Linked DNA regions of Schizosaccharomyces pombe. The gene in region 2 interacts genetically with the main gene of each other region. Each region holds a gene or a part of one and is shown on either strand. Other genes may lie near its edges.

Region 1 (4,526 bases), on a different chromosome or scaffold from region 2:
GTTATAACGGCAGTCTCACAGGCACTTTATTTGCTATACCCCAATTTCATATCTATAGTACCAGGAACATTTGCACTTCCTGATTCTTTGAAGGAAAAGCAAAATTTATTCGCCATTCAAGATATATCTCTCGATGAACCTCAAAGGCTAAGCCTATATGAATTAGAAGAGTTACCGACAGGGCTTCTACAGTCTTCCATTTTATTTATAACTTTAAATTTGATAGAAATGGCGATTGACATTTATTTTAAGGAGCAAGCTTTCATTGAAATATTTGTACCCATTATGGACATGTTACAATTGTACTCTTTGAAAAAGGAACTTTTGAGTAAACGTTTATCGGAAAAATTATTATCTACTTTACAGGCTGTTTCCGATTCTATTGAATCAGCTAAAGCAAACCGTAAACCATTGGCTTTACAATCTCATCGTCCTTTAGGAATTACTAGTCAAGTTCCTAAGTTTGAGGAAGGTTATTCTCTTGACAAAAGCTCCCATGATATTGATCCCGAAAGGGCTCAACTCAACAAGTTGCGTGCTCAACACCGCGATGCCAAGAAAGGAGCTATCCGCACTCTCCGCAAGGATGCCAGGTTTATTGCTAGGGAGAGAAGGCAAGAGCAACGTGCTAAGGACCAAGCCTACAATGAGAAAATGCGGAAGTTGGAAAATCGTTTGCAGCATTTTGATCCGGCTGTCTAGAGAAAGTGTGCATTTCTTTAAGTTTTTGAATTTAAATTATAAAGGGTAGTATAGGGATCATTAGGGGAAAATTTATAGGTAATTGATGATTTTAGCTTAATACTTCCAGCCAAAGTCCACTATTACTATTATATCAATAGTAAAAAAACTTATATAATTTTACATACATACCATGCGTAAACTAAGGTGTAGAAAAAGGGAAACAATCATTATTATTGCTCTTCGTGTAAAAATAACTACGAATCAAAAAGCCATGTATCTATAGTAAACAATAATTGATAAGATACTCCTAAAATTATTGGATAAACAAAAGAAAGGAAAGGAGCATACAAAATGCATATGAATACCAAAAAGGGAAAAGGGAATCAGTAACTATTCTAGATTAGTTCTAATCGGTATCTTCCAATTCTTCAAGGTAATGCATAGCCAATAAAGCTGCTTGACAACCACTTCCAGCAGAAGTGATGGCTTGGCGGAAGACCTTATCTTGAACATCACCAGCGGCAAAAAAGCCAGGAATTGAAGTACGAGGAGTTCCATTAATAGTTTTAATGTAACCGGCTTCATCAAGCTCAATTTGTTCAGCTACTAACTTAGTAGCAGGGATATGTCCAATAGCATAAAAGAGTCCGTTAACCTGAAGATCAGAGACTTCATTCGTGTTGGTATTCTTGATACGAAGGTTATTGAGCAACTTGCCATCGCCTTGGGCCTCCTCAGCAACGGTGTTCCACAAAACTTCCACCTTAGGGTTAGCCAAAAGACGCTTGGCCATAATGGGAGAAGCACGAAGCTTGTCACGGCGCACAAGGACATAAACTTTGCTACCATACTTTGTTAAAAACTGGGCCTCTTCGGCAGCAGAGTCACCACCACCAACGACAGCAAGAGGCTTGTTACGATAAATGGGAACGGCACCATCACATACAGCACAAGCAGATATACCTGCTTGCCAATAAGTATCCTCACCAGTAATGTGAAGGCGACGAGCGGAAGCACCAGTAGCCAAAATAACGCTGTCAGCGGTATGAGGCTCTTCCTCTTCAGCACCCTCCAACCAGTACTTGAAAGGGCGAGAAGAAAGATCTAATTTGGAAACAGTCTCGGTAATAATTTCAGTTCCAAAACGCAAAGATTGAGCGCGGAAGTTTTCAGTAAGGGTAGTACCATTGATACCATCGGGAAAACCAGGAAAGTTTTCGACATCGGTGGTAGTAGTAAGCTGACCACCAGCAGCAATACCGTTGGCAAGCATACCTTCGTACATTACGGGCTTAAGCTCACCACGGGCGAGATAGATGGCTGCAGTATGGCCGGCGGGACCAGACCCAATAATAACAACCTTGTTGTGAGTCACTAATGAAGTCAGTAAAATTAAAAAAACAAAACAAAAAAAGATAAACGTTAATGTTGTAAGGCGAGAAGGATAGAAAAGCTGAAAGAACACAAGATAACCATTATCGAACAATGATAAAAAAACAGATGAAACCCAATCTTACACGTGAGTTCGGAAATAAAAAAGTTTCCTACTAATCAACAAAAAAAAAGAAAAAAATTCATCACCGAATTAGTTTTATTTTTAGGTAATAATTTTTTTTTTGTTGGGTTCGACTTCATCGCCGTCACATTTCCTGCACGTTTTTCGTTTCACTTACTATTGATATGAGTATTTGTAGAGAAATATGTTTGTTTTAAAGGGGAATAAATAGATCCTAACTTCAAAGATTTCTTAAAAGAATCGGGTATGCCTTTATAGAAGCTAAATTTCTGATAAGGAAAGAATGTCCTGAAGTATCGAAGGAATGCGATATGGTGGTAGTGGGTAAATTGATTCTTATATAGAGCCCTGGGAAATGGTGTGCTTACTAGCGATGAATAATGAGACTCGTTCGAGACATTCGTAAAAGTGCGAACGCTTAGATTAACAGTGGCAGAACGAGACACCGATATCGCGTAAGCAAATTTAATGCCAACATGGTAGAAGAGGGTATAGGAATGTCGAGAATTAGTGAGGCCACGATAAATGGACGAACCACCAAAGCCATGAGTAAGCGACGCTTTGTACATGAAAGACGACTGACCTATGCTAGTACAATAGAAAGAACTCGACAAGAAAAATCCACGTTTTTGTTAGTTAAGAGTTTAAGCCTCCACAATCCAAACAAATTGTCAAAGAGACGCGCAGAAAGCAAAATTCTCAATGTAGCCGTGCTGGGCTACTTGCCTTACTAAGGTTTTAACCAAAAACAAGTATGATTCAAGTGCGATTGGTGTAGCCTAGAAAAAACAATTGCGAAAAGTAATTTCAAGGAAACAAATTTTAGTCGTTTACAACCCAAAAAAGAAAAATTTGCTGTTCCTGCGATCAACACTGCTTAATAATTTATTTATTAAGGTTACCAACGAGGAAAAATGTTTTACGCTGAATATTGTGATTTGATAAAAGGTATAACGATAGAATTTATAAATAATAAATTGGTTTAACGTTCAACGAAGAAAGTACGAAAATTGGGTTTTGGCTGCTATCAACATTATCGAGCTTTAAGGTAGCACGCAGCATTGCTTTACAATAGGCCAGTTTTAGATGTGAACGGTACGAGGTCGGGAGGTCATCGTTTTCTTGTAATGGTACTCGAGATGTTACTCACTTAATTTTTCTGTTTTCTAAGTGCGTACTACATATTGTACTAATAGAGTTTCAATCGGCTACTATCCTCTAACCCATGTTCCATATTCAACAGCTGCTCTCTTTCTCGCTAATCATGGTTAGTGTATTGCATCTAGCCTACACCCCAAAAACACAGGTAGCAAATAAGCTCACTCATTTCTCGATATGGTGTAACGTCGAATACCTGGCAAGAACCAGACAATCGTTTATTCTTGTATTTTTTTAATGCCGATGAATTCCGTGTTAGTTATTGGAAGTGGATTTTTAGGAGGTCATATCATACGGCAGCTGTGCGAACGTGAAAATCTTCGAATTGCTGCATTTGATCTCTTTGAAAATGAAAAGTTGCTACACGAGCTTCATGGTCAATTCACCATGTATACGGGTGATTTAACGAAACAAGGTGATATTGAGCGTGTTTTTGAGGAATTTCATCCACGCGTAGTTATTCACACTGCTTCACCTGTGCATAACCTTGCTCGTGATATTTACTTTGAAGTGAACGTAGATGGCACAGCGAATATCATCAAAGCATGCCAGAAATTTAATGTTGATGCCCTTGTTTATACTAGTTCCGCAGGTGTAGTTTTCAATGGTGCTGACCTTATCAATGTGGATGAGTCCCAGCCCATCCCAGAAGTTCATATGGATGCCTATAACGAGTCCAAAGCTTTGGCAGAAAAACAAGTCTTGGAGGCAAGTTCTGAATCTTTAAAAACTGCTGCCCTTAGAGTTGCTGGTTTATTTGGTCCAGGTGATCGCCAACTCGTCCCTGGTATGCTTTCTGTTTTAAAGAATGGACAAACCAAATTTCAATTGGGTGATAATTTGAATCTTTTTGATTTTACCTACATCGAAAACGCTGCCTATGCTCATCTTCTGGCTATGGACAATTTACTTTCTAGTAATCCTACTGCCAATGGCCAAGTCTTTTTCATTACCAATGGACAGGTTATTTACTTTTGGGACTTTGCACGTGCTATTTGGGCACATGCAGGACACGTTCCCCCTTATATCATCAAATTCCCTAGACCGGTGGGTATGCTCTTAGCCACTGCTGCTGAATGGGTTTGTTATTTCTTGAAAAAGGAACCTGGCTTTACACGTTTCCGTGTCCAATTTAGTTGTGCTAACCGTTACTTTAACATTCAAAAGG
Region 2 (8,744 bases):
CTCGTATTCTAATTCAAGAAAAATAAAAAAGATAAATTAAATACAGAGAATTCTGTTAATTTGCTTTCACACATGCTAAGATTCAAAGTTGGTTGGGTATAAACCTCAAAAGTCTTATGCATGCATACATGTCAACATAGTAAAAATAATTTCTAATGTAAATTAACGAATATGGCAACACTCGTCACCCAAGCCGTCTGCTATTATGAGTACTAATAGTATTTTATTCCACCATTAACAAATTATTTTTTAAAGAAAAAAAGTGTATAAAAAAAGACCATAAAACTTAAAAACATCAAAACACCCCATATTAATACATTTAACCAGTTCCGGTAATCTTTTTACCAAGCCAAGTACTTCTAAGCTTCATGACTCGGAATACGTAAAACAACAAAAGCACCGCAAAGATATTGAAGAACACATAACCAACAAAGATACCCAAATTTCTCCAGCGATGAGTATAACGCATACTAAACCGCTCCAAAAACTGGTCAGCGGTTTGATATGGACAGTAACTGCATGAGGTTGTAGCATTAGGATTTAAGAGGTTTCCAGCAGCTGTGTTATTAGTTAAGAAAGCACTCATATATTCACCGCATGTTTGACCGCTAGGAGGGTTGATAGTAAGCATCTCATGAGACTTGCATTCAACTGGAAGTCCATGCACCAAATCAGAAAGTAATCCTTCGATCAAATAGGTAAACGGAGTCAACGAATGCATCCAATGCCAAAATCCGACCAAATTACTATTAGGCTGCAGAACACCGTTAAATGTAATCACGAATGTGAATAACAAACTGTTGACAACGGACGCTGTTTGAGCATTAGGGCACGCACTGGCGACAGCTTGGCCAAAAGTTGAGAAGTACATTTGGAAGAACATATAAAGCAACCAAGCGTAACCAGTTTTGTCACCAGGATGATGAATATGCTTATAAAACTTGATTGGATAAAACCAACAAAGGAAGAAAAGCGTGCCAAACACCAGGTTAAATGGAATTTCTACTATAATGGCTGAAAATACGAATGCAACCCAACTGTAAATATTCGAAGGCTTTTCTCTAACTTCAAAGACGTTACGCAACTCAATAAATTTTGGTTGAAGACCATTAATCAAAGGAACTGCAAGAACGGTTGCCATAAACACAGCGAAAAGCTTGTTCTGAATATTCTGTACACCGAGACCTTGATTATAAAATGTAAATCCAATAAATAAACCAGCGAAAATATCCAGTGCTAATTTAGACATCAATATAGAGGGCTCTCTCCAATAAGACTGGAAATTTCTGGTCATGACCATTTTGACTTGGAACCACAGAGGCATGGCGTAAGTGCTCCTATCTTCCTTTGACAAAGTCTTTTTATCCTCACTGTTTGAGAATGAAGCGTTAATTTTGTCTAGCTCTGCACTAATGGCTTTACGTTCTTCTGAGTTATTCCAAACTTCATGCCAATCACGATTAGTAGTGGCAGTGGCACCAGCACCAATAACATCTAAAATGTATTCAGCTGGATTACCGTCGTCAGGACAATGTACTGCTCCATGAGATTCAAAGTAATTTAACAAAGTCTTAGAATGTTCTCCTATATCACCAAAGTACACTGTTTTACCACCTTTCTGTAGCAGTAACAATCTATCAAATTGATCAAACAGTACGGCACTGGGTTGATGGATTGTACAAAGAATTGCTTGACCAGCATCAGCTAATTTTCGCAAGAAACAAACAATGGACCATGCAGACTGACTATCTAGACCAGAAGTTGGCTCGTCTAAAAACAACAATAAAGCAGGCTTCGCAGCCAACTCGACACCAATGGTTGCACGCTTACGTTGTTCTACGTTCAATCCGGAGCCAGGAGTACCGATAATTGCTTCAGCATAGCTCTCCATTTCCAAAAGTTTAATGACTGATTCGACATATTCGTACTTTTCCGAAAGAGGAACGGAAGCAGGTTGACGTAGAGCAGCACTGAAACGCAACGCTTCTCTAACCGTAGATTCACCAATGTGGACATCCTGCTGTTGTACATAACCAGTGCGCCGTTGGAAAGTTGAATCCAATCCTCTACCATTAACCAACATGTCGCCAGTTACTACACCAGTGTCAACACGTTGAGCAAGTACATTTAGTAAAGTGGTTTTACCAGCACCGGATTCACCCATCAAAGCCGTCAATTTACCTGGAACAACAAAGCCTTGCACACCATTAAGTAACCGGCGATGCTCACCTTTTATTTGAATGTCGTAGTTAAGATTTCTCCAGCTGAAAATGTCATGGCCTTTTTCAATTCCTTCATATTCCTTGTTAAGCTCTTCTTCGTTGTCCGGAGACTCTTTAACAACGTCACCACCTTGAGTATCTTGACCAGTTTCTAAATCCAGCGGTTTTCCACCTTCATTGACAGCTGCTTTTACAGCGTCAGGAGCATGGCCGCGGCGAAAGACCAGATATTCACCTTTCAAATCGTTGAAATTAAGAGTTTCACTGGCGACGATGTTGACAAATACCAAGAACGCATAATATCCAATAATAATAGCCAAATTTCTCCATAATTGACGCGTCTTGTAGTTGAAACTAATATACAAGTAAGTTGAGCCGTCAACGTAATCTGTTCCAGGTTCTGCAGAGGTGACGGGACAGATTTTGTTAGCTACAGGATAATTGTCATATCCACTACCGTACGGAATCAATTGAGAGCATTCGAACTGTCGTGCCTTGAATTCATTAATCATTAAAGACTCAAAACCAAATTGCAACGGGTCGAGATAAGCAATCCAGCGGAACCACCATCCAACGTCGATATTAGGAATAGCATAACCAGTGTAAATGGCAATTGCAAGCACACCGATACCACCCAAAGCAGATGCAGATTCAACATTGGGCATAATTCCAGCTAATGATCGAAAAAAGGCAGACATACAAGTAGCACCTATGAAAAGGAACAAAAAGTAAGTCCAAAATCCGCCAGCAGTCCTCTTTAAATTTGTTAAAAAATACAACACAATTGAGAAAACCGAAATATTAATGAATCTGAAAGGTAGATCGACAATCAAGCTACTAATAACATCTGCAGCAGGATGGTACAAAGCAGAAGCTCTATGCTTAGCAATGATGGGTCGTTGGGAAAACATATTAGCGATTTCAGAAAGACTCTGAAGTGCGCAAAACAGAATAGAGAAGAAAAGAACACCACCACGTGAGAATACATCAACGGTGTTTAATTTCATATCGTAGAAAATAGAACCGATAATAAGAGATTGGAAAAGGAAAGCAAAAGCCATTGAACCAATATATGCAGGATCATTGATATATCTCTCCCATGACCTAGCTAAACAATACCACAACTGTTGACTAAAAGTCACAGTATACGGAGAGGTATCCTTAACACGTTTACTCTTTTCCGCTACCGCACTTTGACGATAGAGCTCATGCTTGGTAGTGGCAGAGATATCGCTTCCAAAGTTGTCTTTTTCGGGGGCTTCAGAAGAAGCAGGAGTAGTCTCGGTCCACCGTTTGTCATAGCTTTCCATTTCGGCCATAAGGTCAGCATATACAGAACTATTGCGCCACATTTGTTCAAACTCATCAGGGGTTCTGGGAACGCGATTTTCGAAACCCTTTCTAGGAAACCTAGCCTTCGGGTCAGAAATAGCAGTGAGGAAGTCAGGAGTTGTTTCACGAGGATGACAGTCAAACCCCATATCTAAGAAGTATTGCTTGGCTTTGTCAGCTGGTCCATAATAAATTTGCCTACCGGCATAAAGTACACAAATTCGATCGAAAAGTTTGTAAATCTTTTCCGAAGCTTGGTATGCAGTAACGAAGGATGTCATTTTAAGTTCATTGGCACAAGTGCGAAGGACATTGACGAACTCGAAAGCCGTACTAGAGTCCAAACCACGAGTACTATTATCCCAGCAAGCGATAGTTGGACGAGTAGCAAAACCTTCACTAATAGTTACACGCTTACGTTCACCACCAGAGACACCACGTACGAAATCATTACCTACCTTGGTATTGAAAGTGTGTGTCAAGCCAAATGCGGTAGCAATTAAATGCCTCTCACGACTCACATATTCTTGACGGGTGAGGTTGCAAGGACGGTTGTTTGGGGTACGGCATTTAGCCGCAAAATCAAGGGTTTCAGCGGTAGTCAAAGATGGGAAATGGACATCGTTTTCACCACTGTATAAAAGATCACCGGGGAAAAACTTTTTCATGTCGGCCTTGTCAATACCGTCATAATGAGTGGTTCCCTCGACACGCTTGTAGTGAACAGTATCGCTAGTAACTGAACGCAAGAAAGTGGAACATCCAGAACCTGGTTGTCCCAAAACCATCACCAGTTCACCAGCATTGGCAAGAGCATGACAATGACTTAAAATGGCTTTTTCCACCACTTGTTTTTCAGTGATAGCTCGATAAGGTTGTAAAAAAATATCAGGAAATGTTTTCAAAAATTCATATCCAGAACCAACGCCATAAACACTATGGTCGCGCATGCAGACACCACTACTACGAGTGATGATATCGTCTCGTTGTAAAGAATCTTTGTATGCTCTTAAATAATGCTTCAAGTTGAAGTTTTCCCCTAGTTCAAAGGGATCACCGGCCAAACGGTCGACCGATGAATCATCAGATGAGGAAGAATCCGAATTCGATGAGGATTCTGGGGAGGGTTCGTTTGATGAAGATGGGACGTAACTTTGATTACCTTTTGAACGGTATTCCTCATTAGTGTGTGATGCCTTCTCATTGGATGAAGGATTAGAAGAATCTAAAGACTCGTCAACATTCGAAGAAGAATCCTCGAAATGATCAGAGGAATTAGAAATACGCGTAACCTCGGTGGTATGATTTAAAGTACTGCCTAAGGCCTGACCGTGAGTAGTATCCGAATTTTGATTCATTTCGTAATGTAAAAAGGAATATAAAAGGGAAACAAATCAAAATAGAACAGGATAGGAAAAAAGAAAGTAGAAAAAACCGGAAATGATGTTTTATATTAGTAATTGAACGATTCAAAAGAAAAAATTTTGAAAACACCACGATACAATTGAAACAAGTTGAACTCTATAAATCGAGCTGAAAAAAAAAAGCAGATCGACGTCCAACGATTTAAAAAAAACGAGAAATGAAAAGTTTAATAAAATAAACGACAAAATTACCAAAACGTAAGAAGAATTAGAACGCTATTTCACAAGACAGTAAACTTCAAGTTGTGAAAATAATAAGAAAAACGCAAACGAAAGTACGTGAATTGAACGAAAACGCTAGGGAAAACGACCAACAACAAGTTTAAAAAAAAAGCGAAAGCGAATCGCAACCAGAAAGACTTTCAAACAAAATTAGTGAGTGATGATGAAGTAAGCAACCGAGCTCACTGTACACTGAAGAGAAAAGTTTTATTGTTTAACAAGTGGGTGAAGAAAATAATTTAAAATTAGGAGAGGAACGAATGGGGAATCGAACAGTACTTTTTAAGCTTGGCTTAAAAAGCAGTAAGATTACTAAAGGAAGAAGATAAAAAAATGAAGGATCTCCTTTGGAAAGTTCAAATAGATACTATAACAAATATAGATAAATAGATATGTATACGGTTGTATGTATAAAAAATATTTATCTATCTATATATATTTTATAATATATAGAAAGAAGGCTTCTTTTTTATTAGAGTGAATTTTCCCAAACGCAATAGGGGAAAAAAAATTTCGTTCTTGTCTGCCTGTGAGATTGCTCGTAATACGAATCGCCAATTCGTGTTGATTCAGACTCCTACTGAAAAAGTGAAAGACGACTGGTCAATAATACGAGTAAATGAAAGTTTTATAATAGGAGCAGGGATGAAAACCTAGCACCACAGGTATGCTTATGACAAGAAGGGAAGAGAAGGGGCAAATAGGAAGAAGAAAGAAGCAACGCCAATTTTTTAGAAGAGGAACTAGTTTCAAAGATAAGAAAAGCAAAATTTCCTGAAAAACAATGGCTTTTTGCAGGCCACGTTTCAAAAGAAGAAAGAGAATCCAATAAGTTTCCGCAAGAGGAAAGAAATGTATCTAGAAGACAGGTAGGAAGAGGGAAATGGAAATGCAAGGGAAACGGGAGAAAAGGTAAGAAAGCTAAAGCTTCCTGAACTCCAACAAAAGCTTGAAAACCAAACAAAAAGGAACTAAATCGAGATAACGGTCTCTACGAACTCAATAAAAACGACGTTTCGTTGCGCTTCAAAGGATAAACCAGAAAGCAAGTTGGTTATCGAGAAAGTAGGGAGCAATTTCTTCGTTCTTTAATATGAACTGCCAAACGCTAGGAAGATGATGTGAAAAAAATGGTGGCCGCTGACTCGCTTTAGTAAACAATTTCGTTCGGCGCTTTGACTCTCCGGAGTGATGTCATAGAAAAGCGATCGACTAAACACCGAGGAGCAAGCAAGCGATAAATTTGCCTTGTATAATAGTATGACTAAGACAACTCGATAATAAGAGACGCAACAAGAAAGAGAGGGTTTAGAGACGAAATGAGATGAAAAACCGATAAAAATGAGTGTAATATGAGAGAAAGAACAAAAAAAATTTCAATGAATTAAAAGCGAGATTCTCTTGAATCAAAAAGATTGAGAAAAGAGTCCAAAATCCCTTTTATAAAGTGTTTAACCTCAGAAAAAGCCCAAATTTTCTCGAAATTTCCCCCGACTTTAGCATAGTTTTTATTATTTTACAAAGTTCTTTTGTTTGTTCATAATTTCAGAGATTGTTTTGCAAACCAACAAAGACCCGAATCGTCCATCTGGTACGAGCGCTCATCTTTATCTTTCTTTTGTTTACATGTCAAAGGGAAATACAAAAGTGAGTGAAAAGTTTCTCTATTTTCATTCAAACTTCCTACTTCTTGGTCTATTTTTTATTCAAATGACTTGATGAATTTGAATATTGGTTTAAAACCTGACAAATCCTACCTTTTTTCCATTTAACTACGCGTTCAACGTTTCCTCTCCTGCGCTACTTTTAGCTATAGACACTTGCTCTCTCACTCTCTCAGTAATGTAAATTTAACGACAAATAGCGTTTTCGTAAACCTCTTTAGTAGCGTTTCCTAGCAGCGAAGCACTCAAACATAGTCGGGATCGTCCAAGTTCCGAAATTACCGCTGCGCGGTCAACTACAGCATTTGCTGTTATCACGATACAGCGATACGCAAGAGGCTAATTTCTAAATTCCGATGCCCGATGTCCGAGCACCTCGCGTTTGAGAAGTGTCGCACATTTGGCATCAAATGCAGCTCTTGCAGATCTGATTAGTAAGAAATGAGTAAGCGCAAAGAATAACGAGGAAAAGAGAATGTGTTGAATGGAATAATGAGGAATAAAGGAGTGCGATCGGGAAGATTACGAAGGAGAGTAGATATACTCAAATTTGCAAGGATAAAGGATAAGGATTACGAATAGAGATGATTACTGAAGAATTTGTGAGCAATTGTTTTTTTTTTAATTTATCTGATTAAATTGGAATGGATGTCCAGTATAGAATATGTTCATGCACTCTCTCTGCACTTTGCAAGATGAATTGCATTGTAACGATCGAGTGCGCTATGTAATATTACGCTGCGCTACTGTTTTATTCCCATAAAGACTTGAAAAGGTAAATAGCCAAACTGACTTTAAAGTTGGTTTTGACTTTTTCTCCTTTCTAGCATAAATACTGCTGCACATTGGATCAGTTGTTAGTAAGTAGAAGATTGAGTAGCTAGAAATTGTAGAGAGCGAAATATTCTCTTGACCGATTACATTCCCACTGTCTCCCGTTTTTGTTTTGCCTACTTTGTACTGCGTCTTCATCGTTTGTCCGACTGTGTGTGGGCGCCATGTTTCTAGCTAGTGTGCCCAGTACGAGAAGTTTCTATTACTGAGCGCATGTCGAAATTACTGGGCAAATTTGACACTTTGAGAGCAGCTCGATCGCATCGCTCTCAAAGTACTAAAAAATTGTCCGTTTCGATGCTGCGAAAAGTTGGACATCATAGTGCGAAGACCATCGTAAACTTGCCTATCATGTGTTAATAACATGGTCCAACATGTTGATGAAGCAATCCTACCAAATCGGCTACAAATACTATGGCACGAAATACGTGAATGCAATATGGCTCATCTCTTTACCTCTCTCTATAGGTAAATATGTAAATACTTAAGGCAAATTAAATTCTTTTTTCATCCACTTAAGCATTTTAACGTGTCATTTCGCACTGCTTTGTATTTTATTAATATTTTATTAAACAAAATGCGATAACTAGCGTAATTTGGAATAAAAAAACACCCATTCACCTCGTAGCATACACTTCGCTCGTGAACGCTATTTTCCACTTCCACTATCTCGTCTAGCGTGAATGCGGGCATAGCGATGCAGCGACACATTGCAGTATTTCACAATTACAAAAGTGTCGATCTTTTTGTTGTTGCGCTAAATAGTGTGCTACTAAACATTTTGATACATTCTATAAACTCGCCAGCGTTTATTCCATTTAGTGTCTTTCTCGTATTTTGAATTCATGTGTATGTGCTAGTAACTAAAATTTCTTCTCATCCAATTTTTTTTTTTTTTTTTTTTTATTTAAATTCTCTTCCAACCAACTTCTACTCGTTCATTTTTCTATTGACATTTGTGTTTAACTCATACCTCGTAATAATCACGTTTACCAATTCGACGACCCTCAGCAATTGACTCTCTGAGCCACATGAAATCATTTTCT
Region 3 (5,035 bases), on a different chromosome or scaffold from region 2:
CAAACGAATAAAATCATAGTGTTATGTTTTCCTTTTTCAGAAATCGTTACAATTGATCAACTTCTTCTTCCAGATCCGATGGTTCAATTGCATAATCTTCAGAGGCATTTTCAAGTTGTTTTTCCCATTCCATATAAGCGCTTTCGTCTATAAATTTATTCATTTCCATGGAACCTCCCCTTTTATGTTCCAAAATCCCCTGTCGCCTTTTAGCTTGTTCATTTTCATTTTGGGCACGTGTAGATTGTCTAAGACGCGTCCACGAATAAATCGTAGGCTTTAGTCGTTCAGGCGAAGCACGATCATATTGATAATGAAAGGAATCACTCATGATGAATTAAAAACCATCTAACTTCTAACAGAAAGTTCGACTGCCCTTTCCATAATAAGCGTTTGTAGCCTTGGATAACTAAGAATGCAGCATTTTGAATGCGATGGAAAAGCTCAATGTAACCTTATTCAATCTTACGCGGCGTACTGTGTTCGGTATGAATTTAAGGGAAAAAGCTATAACGCGGTAAATGCTTTACAATAGTGTTATAAACTACTTGTCGCGTTGCTTACGCTTTAACGATGTTTTGGATAGTACACAAATTAACTTCAAGGTAAACTAAATAAAGCGGTTAATTCGTAGAGAACAGATGAAAATATAGGGAAGCCCTAAAGTAAAAAAACTTTAAGTTAGAGGTAGTTAGCTGTGTCTGCTCGTTATCTTAATGTCTTATTTATTGTTATTTAAATAAGAATATGAAAGATTAAATTTCAAAATGGATTCGCACGCAAAAAATAGTCAATTAGCATGATCTTTTTCAATACGTTTGAAAACAGGAGGGATGAGGAAAAATATATTTATAACTTTACTCTTCTTCACATTTCATTTTTTTTTTATATTAAAACTGCAATGATTAACAATCAAACGCTTGGAACTAACATCCACTTAACAAAGTCAAGTTATTAGGTAAACACATTTAAAAACGTAAACAAATTTATTCAGTTGGTGTTTTGTAAATAAATTCCGGCTTCCTTTTTTGGCTAAGAGTAACGAGCTTAGAGCAATTGTAAACGTATCGCCAAGCTCCATTTTATTAAACACTAATATTTCCAGACTAATAACATTAGAAATTATTAAAGACTAGAGTAGAAATAACCATATCCAACTAATAGCACTTTAAAAAATGACAAGGAATAAACAGCAAAGAAACTCATAAATATCTAATGTATAAAAATTAAATTCGTATCCTTCGTTAAGGTTACCACGGAGTAATCGAATAATATGTAATGATCACAAAAGACCAGAATTAAATAAAGGAAGGTATAGGTGAGGGACCAGTAAAGAGGTATTTTTTTAGCATGAATTTTCTTTAAGTGGCATATTTTGATCGACTTCTTAGTTTCAAACCCCATTTATAAATCAAGAATGGAATGGGGATCATTATGCAAGAAATAACACCAAGAATCGTGCTTCCCCACCCCACTGGGGCATATGAAGGACCTGTATTATTAAACATGGCTCTAGCATATAGAGGAGATGCTGCAGCCATGGAAGATCGAAAAAGAGCATTTCCAGCAAATACTGATGCAACATACTTCGGATATGCAGCTGCCAAATATTGAAACATACTTTGGAACAACAAAAAGGAACCTGATGCGTAGAAAAGTGTACCAACAATTGGTACAATCCAGTGCACCGATTCTCTTCCTGTCCAACCAAACCAAAAGAGTGAAATTGGAATAAAAAAGGCAGCTGGAAATGAGATGATTAAAATTTCTTCAGCAGGAAACTTACCCTTATTTTCCACAAACTTAGGAATCATCACTTTTCTAAGGTAAATAAAGTAAAATGCTACGGTTAGAACTGAACCTACCAATATACCCATGTAAACCAACCCGTTTTCAATAGTCGTAAAATGGTAGACTGTAGTAAAAAGGATGGGAAAGGCTTCGAACCATAGGTATAAAATTGAATATACTAATCCAATATAGATGGTTAATGACAGAACGATTGGTTCTGAGACACACAGAATTATAGGACGAACCAATATTTGCTTTGCAAATTGGCCTTTACTCAATTGCGAGGAGGCTATTTCGGCCTCCGTTTTATAATTTGGATTTCCAGTCAATTCGCGCAGTCTTTTAGCTCTTTTATACAATAAATGCCATTCAGAGGTTTCTGGCATAAAAAAAGTTATAATTACCAAGACAAGTGCAGAAATCATCATCAAAAGCCAAAACTGCCATCTCCATGATTTAGCAACTACCATGGCTGCACCAAGCAAGGGACCTAAAACAGGACCACCTAGAAAACTAGTTAGTCACAAATTCACTATCAAATTAAATGATCCAGCTTACCAACTGCGCCAAGGGACCAGAAACACATGAAATAAGGATAAAGCCATGGCTGCCAAATATCGGCCAGAGAGGCTCCTCCAGTGGAGAGGGCAGGTGAGCCAAAAACTCCCGCCAAAAATCTCATTGGAAGCAAAACACCCAAGCTAGATCCTAGCGCAGTGGGGATTTGCAGACAGATAAAAACAATAAGGGAGAGCACATAAATTTTTTGACGGCCTATTTGAGGTACCTCAGAGAGTGGAGAGAAAATGAGAGGGCCAACCGCATACCCCTCAACGAAAAGAGTCAGCCCCAAGATTACGGGCACGGTTCCTACATGCATCGTCTCTCGAATTTCCTGAATACCAGGAGTAAAGATTGCCGACCCCATATACACGGCAAACGTTAAAAAACAAACATCAAATGTTACTACGAGCTTTGCCCATAAAGGCCAATTTTTTGGGTTTTCAGGATCATCTTCGCCATCCCATGTCACAATAATCAATCCTTCAGAGTTAACCTGGTTAGTTTTCTCGTCGTCAAATGAAGAATCGGGGCAACTACTTAACTCAACATTACTATTATCTGTGCATACTCCTAATTTCTCCACATCAACTTGGCGAGTACCGCCAGAAAAGTATTCCACTAATTCACCAAAAATTGTTTCTCTTAAAAACCACATCCAATCGGTTCTCAATGCAAGTTCTTGTTCTCAGTGGATCGTAATAAAAACTTGACAAAATTGATTGTCATTACATTCCTCGTAGAACTTTTGCTTGCCAGACAGAACCTCTTTAAATAGACCAGTTCTTACTTCATGTCATGAAAATTTCCTTGTTGGACATTGGCCTAAATAGCATGTTTAGCCACTTCTAAGAATTTCCACTTGCGCTGATCTATACACTCGGAAGCAAAATTCGTTGAAACCGAGGATAGGTTTATTCAGTATTAGTCGATAAACATAGAAGCGCTTTGTCGGGAAAAATGTTATCTTTGTCCGTCGCATCGTTTAACCGTAATTCGCTTAAAATATTTACACTATTCTAGCAGTGGCTTAACTTTTGTCAACACAATAAAATTACTTTTAAGTTAGTGGTTTAAGCCTATGAATACATTTAGAAAAGGATAAAGGTACTCTTAACGACTCCATTAGATTGATCTGTTTGTAAGTAGATAAATAGATAGAATACTCTCGCTTGTTAATTACTTTTATGTACAATAAGCTTTCAACAGCTCCATTCATTGATGAATGTAATTTGTACTTTAAATAATAAAAATAAAGTTAAATATTGAAGATTTTTTATTTCATTGGGGAATGCAAACACCCAACTAATTATTTCAAGACATACGGTGATGACAATCTGTCGATACTACTATCATCAAGAAGTTTAGCGAACCTCACTAGTCAAATTTGTACAAATTCCGCGGCAATGGGAAAGAATGCGTTGAGTATATATGGTAAGTTACTGACAATCAGAAGTTAAAATAAGCAAACTAAATTGAATTTACTTTGGTTGTAGTTTTGCAGAGATGTGACAACTCCATAGTTGTACGTATATCAATTCATAGTGTTGTTGTTTGTCAATTACTTTGATTGATTATGATCGTCTAGTTTATGATTGCAAATGCTAATTGCTCTAATGACATTAGTCGGACATCACCATTAATGGATAGAAGTAACGGCTAAGCTAAAAACTCAGATTTTTGTAAATGTCAATGTACTAAATTGATGTCAATTAAACTATTGCTAACCTTATTCATCTCTTTAAAATTACTTCAAAATAAAAAAAGAGTAGCAGGAGACTTTAATATCCCCAACACTAAAGTAATACAAAGTCGCCTTTACTATAATTTCATGTCTTTACTATACAAATGAATACCGCACAAAACGCAAGTTAAATTCATCAAATGTCATGAAAATAAATTAAGTAAGTATTGCTAAAACTTTGGAATTATTGGCAAATGCACCAAGAACCTCCAGCAATTTCTTTTTCATAATCGTCAAAAAGTCTTTGCTTCTCGTTACTCATCTTATGGGTAGTAAAAGGAACATTCTTTGGAATAGCACGAATACTGTTTAAAACTAGTTCATAGTCGCCACTTTGGGAATTAAAAAAGCTTCGAATCATAATTGAAAACTGAGTGATCTTGCTAACGTCAAGCTCCGGGGCTCCTTCTACAGGTCGACCACGATAAGTCGGTTTAAATTCGGAAAACGGAATTGAAACAACTTGGTCTTCCTTAGAATATATAGGTGTAAAGTCGTATTCATATGATAAACTTGACTTCTCATCAGAAGTTTCCCAATCTTGATGACAATCCTTAATGATAAAAGTATATTTATAAGAATCGCTCTTAGCAATATCGAGCTCAATTCCTTTAAACTCTTTCAGGTTCCACGTCCTATCCTTGATATTAGTAGCCTGACTACAGAATCCAGCGCCTCCCAAGGTCTTAGTATCAAGAGTGCCCCAAAACTTGGCGCGAGATTTCCCATCACTATCCTTCTCCTCAGTGAGATGACTTATCGAAGAGCCTCCACGAACCCTATCATCTACAGCACGAAAATCCTGCTCATGCCAATTTTCTGGCTGACCAAAAAGAACAAGCATTTCTTTTTAATGGAGTAATGTTCAACAGCGGTGGATATATGAGTATTTTGTATTCAATAACAAAGGCAAAGGAAAGATATGAAGCCTACTTATTG

Evidence for each region. Genes that interact genetically often act in the same process or in processes that back each other up.
Region 1: of bfr1 (region 2) and trr1, a mutation in one rescues a mutant of the other (synthetic rescue), as found in Schizosaccharomyces pombe (one study listed by BioGRID).
Region 3: mutations in bfr1 (region 2) and mfs1 impair growth when combined (synthetic growth defect), as found in Schizosaccharomyces pombe (one study listed by BioGRID).

What each region holds. Positions count from the first base shown.
Region 1 is NC_003423.3:4,187,799-4,192,324, reverse strand, and holds trr1 (thioredoxin reductase Trr1), read right to left. Parts: upstream 2,527-4,526; 5' UTR 2,359-2,526; coding exon 2,358-2,358; exon of another isoform or gene 2,059-2,357; coding exon 1,091-2,058; 3' UTR 877-1,090; downstream 1-876. Other genes in the region: U3 snoRNP protein Nop14, read left to right, coding at 1-702; erg26 (3 beta-hydroxysteroid dehydrogenase/delta 5-to-4-isomerase), read left to right, coding at 3,596-4,526.
Region 2 is NC_003421.2:709,096-717,839, forward strand, and holds bfr1 (plasma membrane brefeldin A efflux transporter Bfr1), read right to left. Parts: upstream 6,324-8,744; 5' UTR 4,913-6,323; coding exon 320-4,912; 3' UTR 207-319; downstream 1-206. UniProt on the Schizosaccharomyces pombe protein: Confers hyper-resistance to brefeldin A (BFA), an inhibitor of intracellular protein transport. Could serve as an efflux pump of various antibiotics.
Region 3 is NC_003424.3:4,470,586-4,475,620, reverse strand, and holds mfs1 (MFS family transmembrane transporter Mfs1), read right to left. Parts: upstream 3,092-5,035; 5' UTR 3,011-3,091; coding exon 2,350-3,010; intron 2,297-2,349; coding exon 1,362-2,296; 3' UTR 877-1,361; downstream 1-876. Other genes in the region: protein dhm2, read right to left, coding at 47-331; SPOM_SPAC9E9.15 (protein CIA30), read right to left, coding at 4,281-4,940.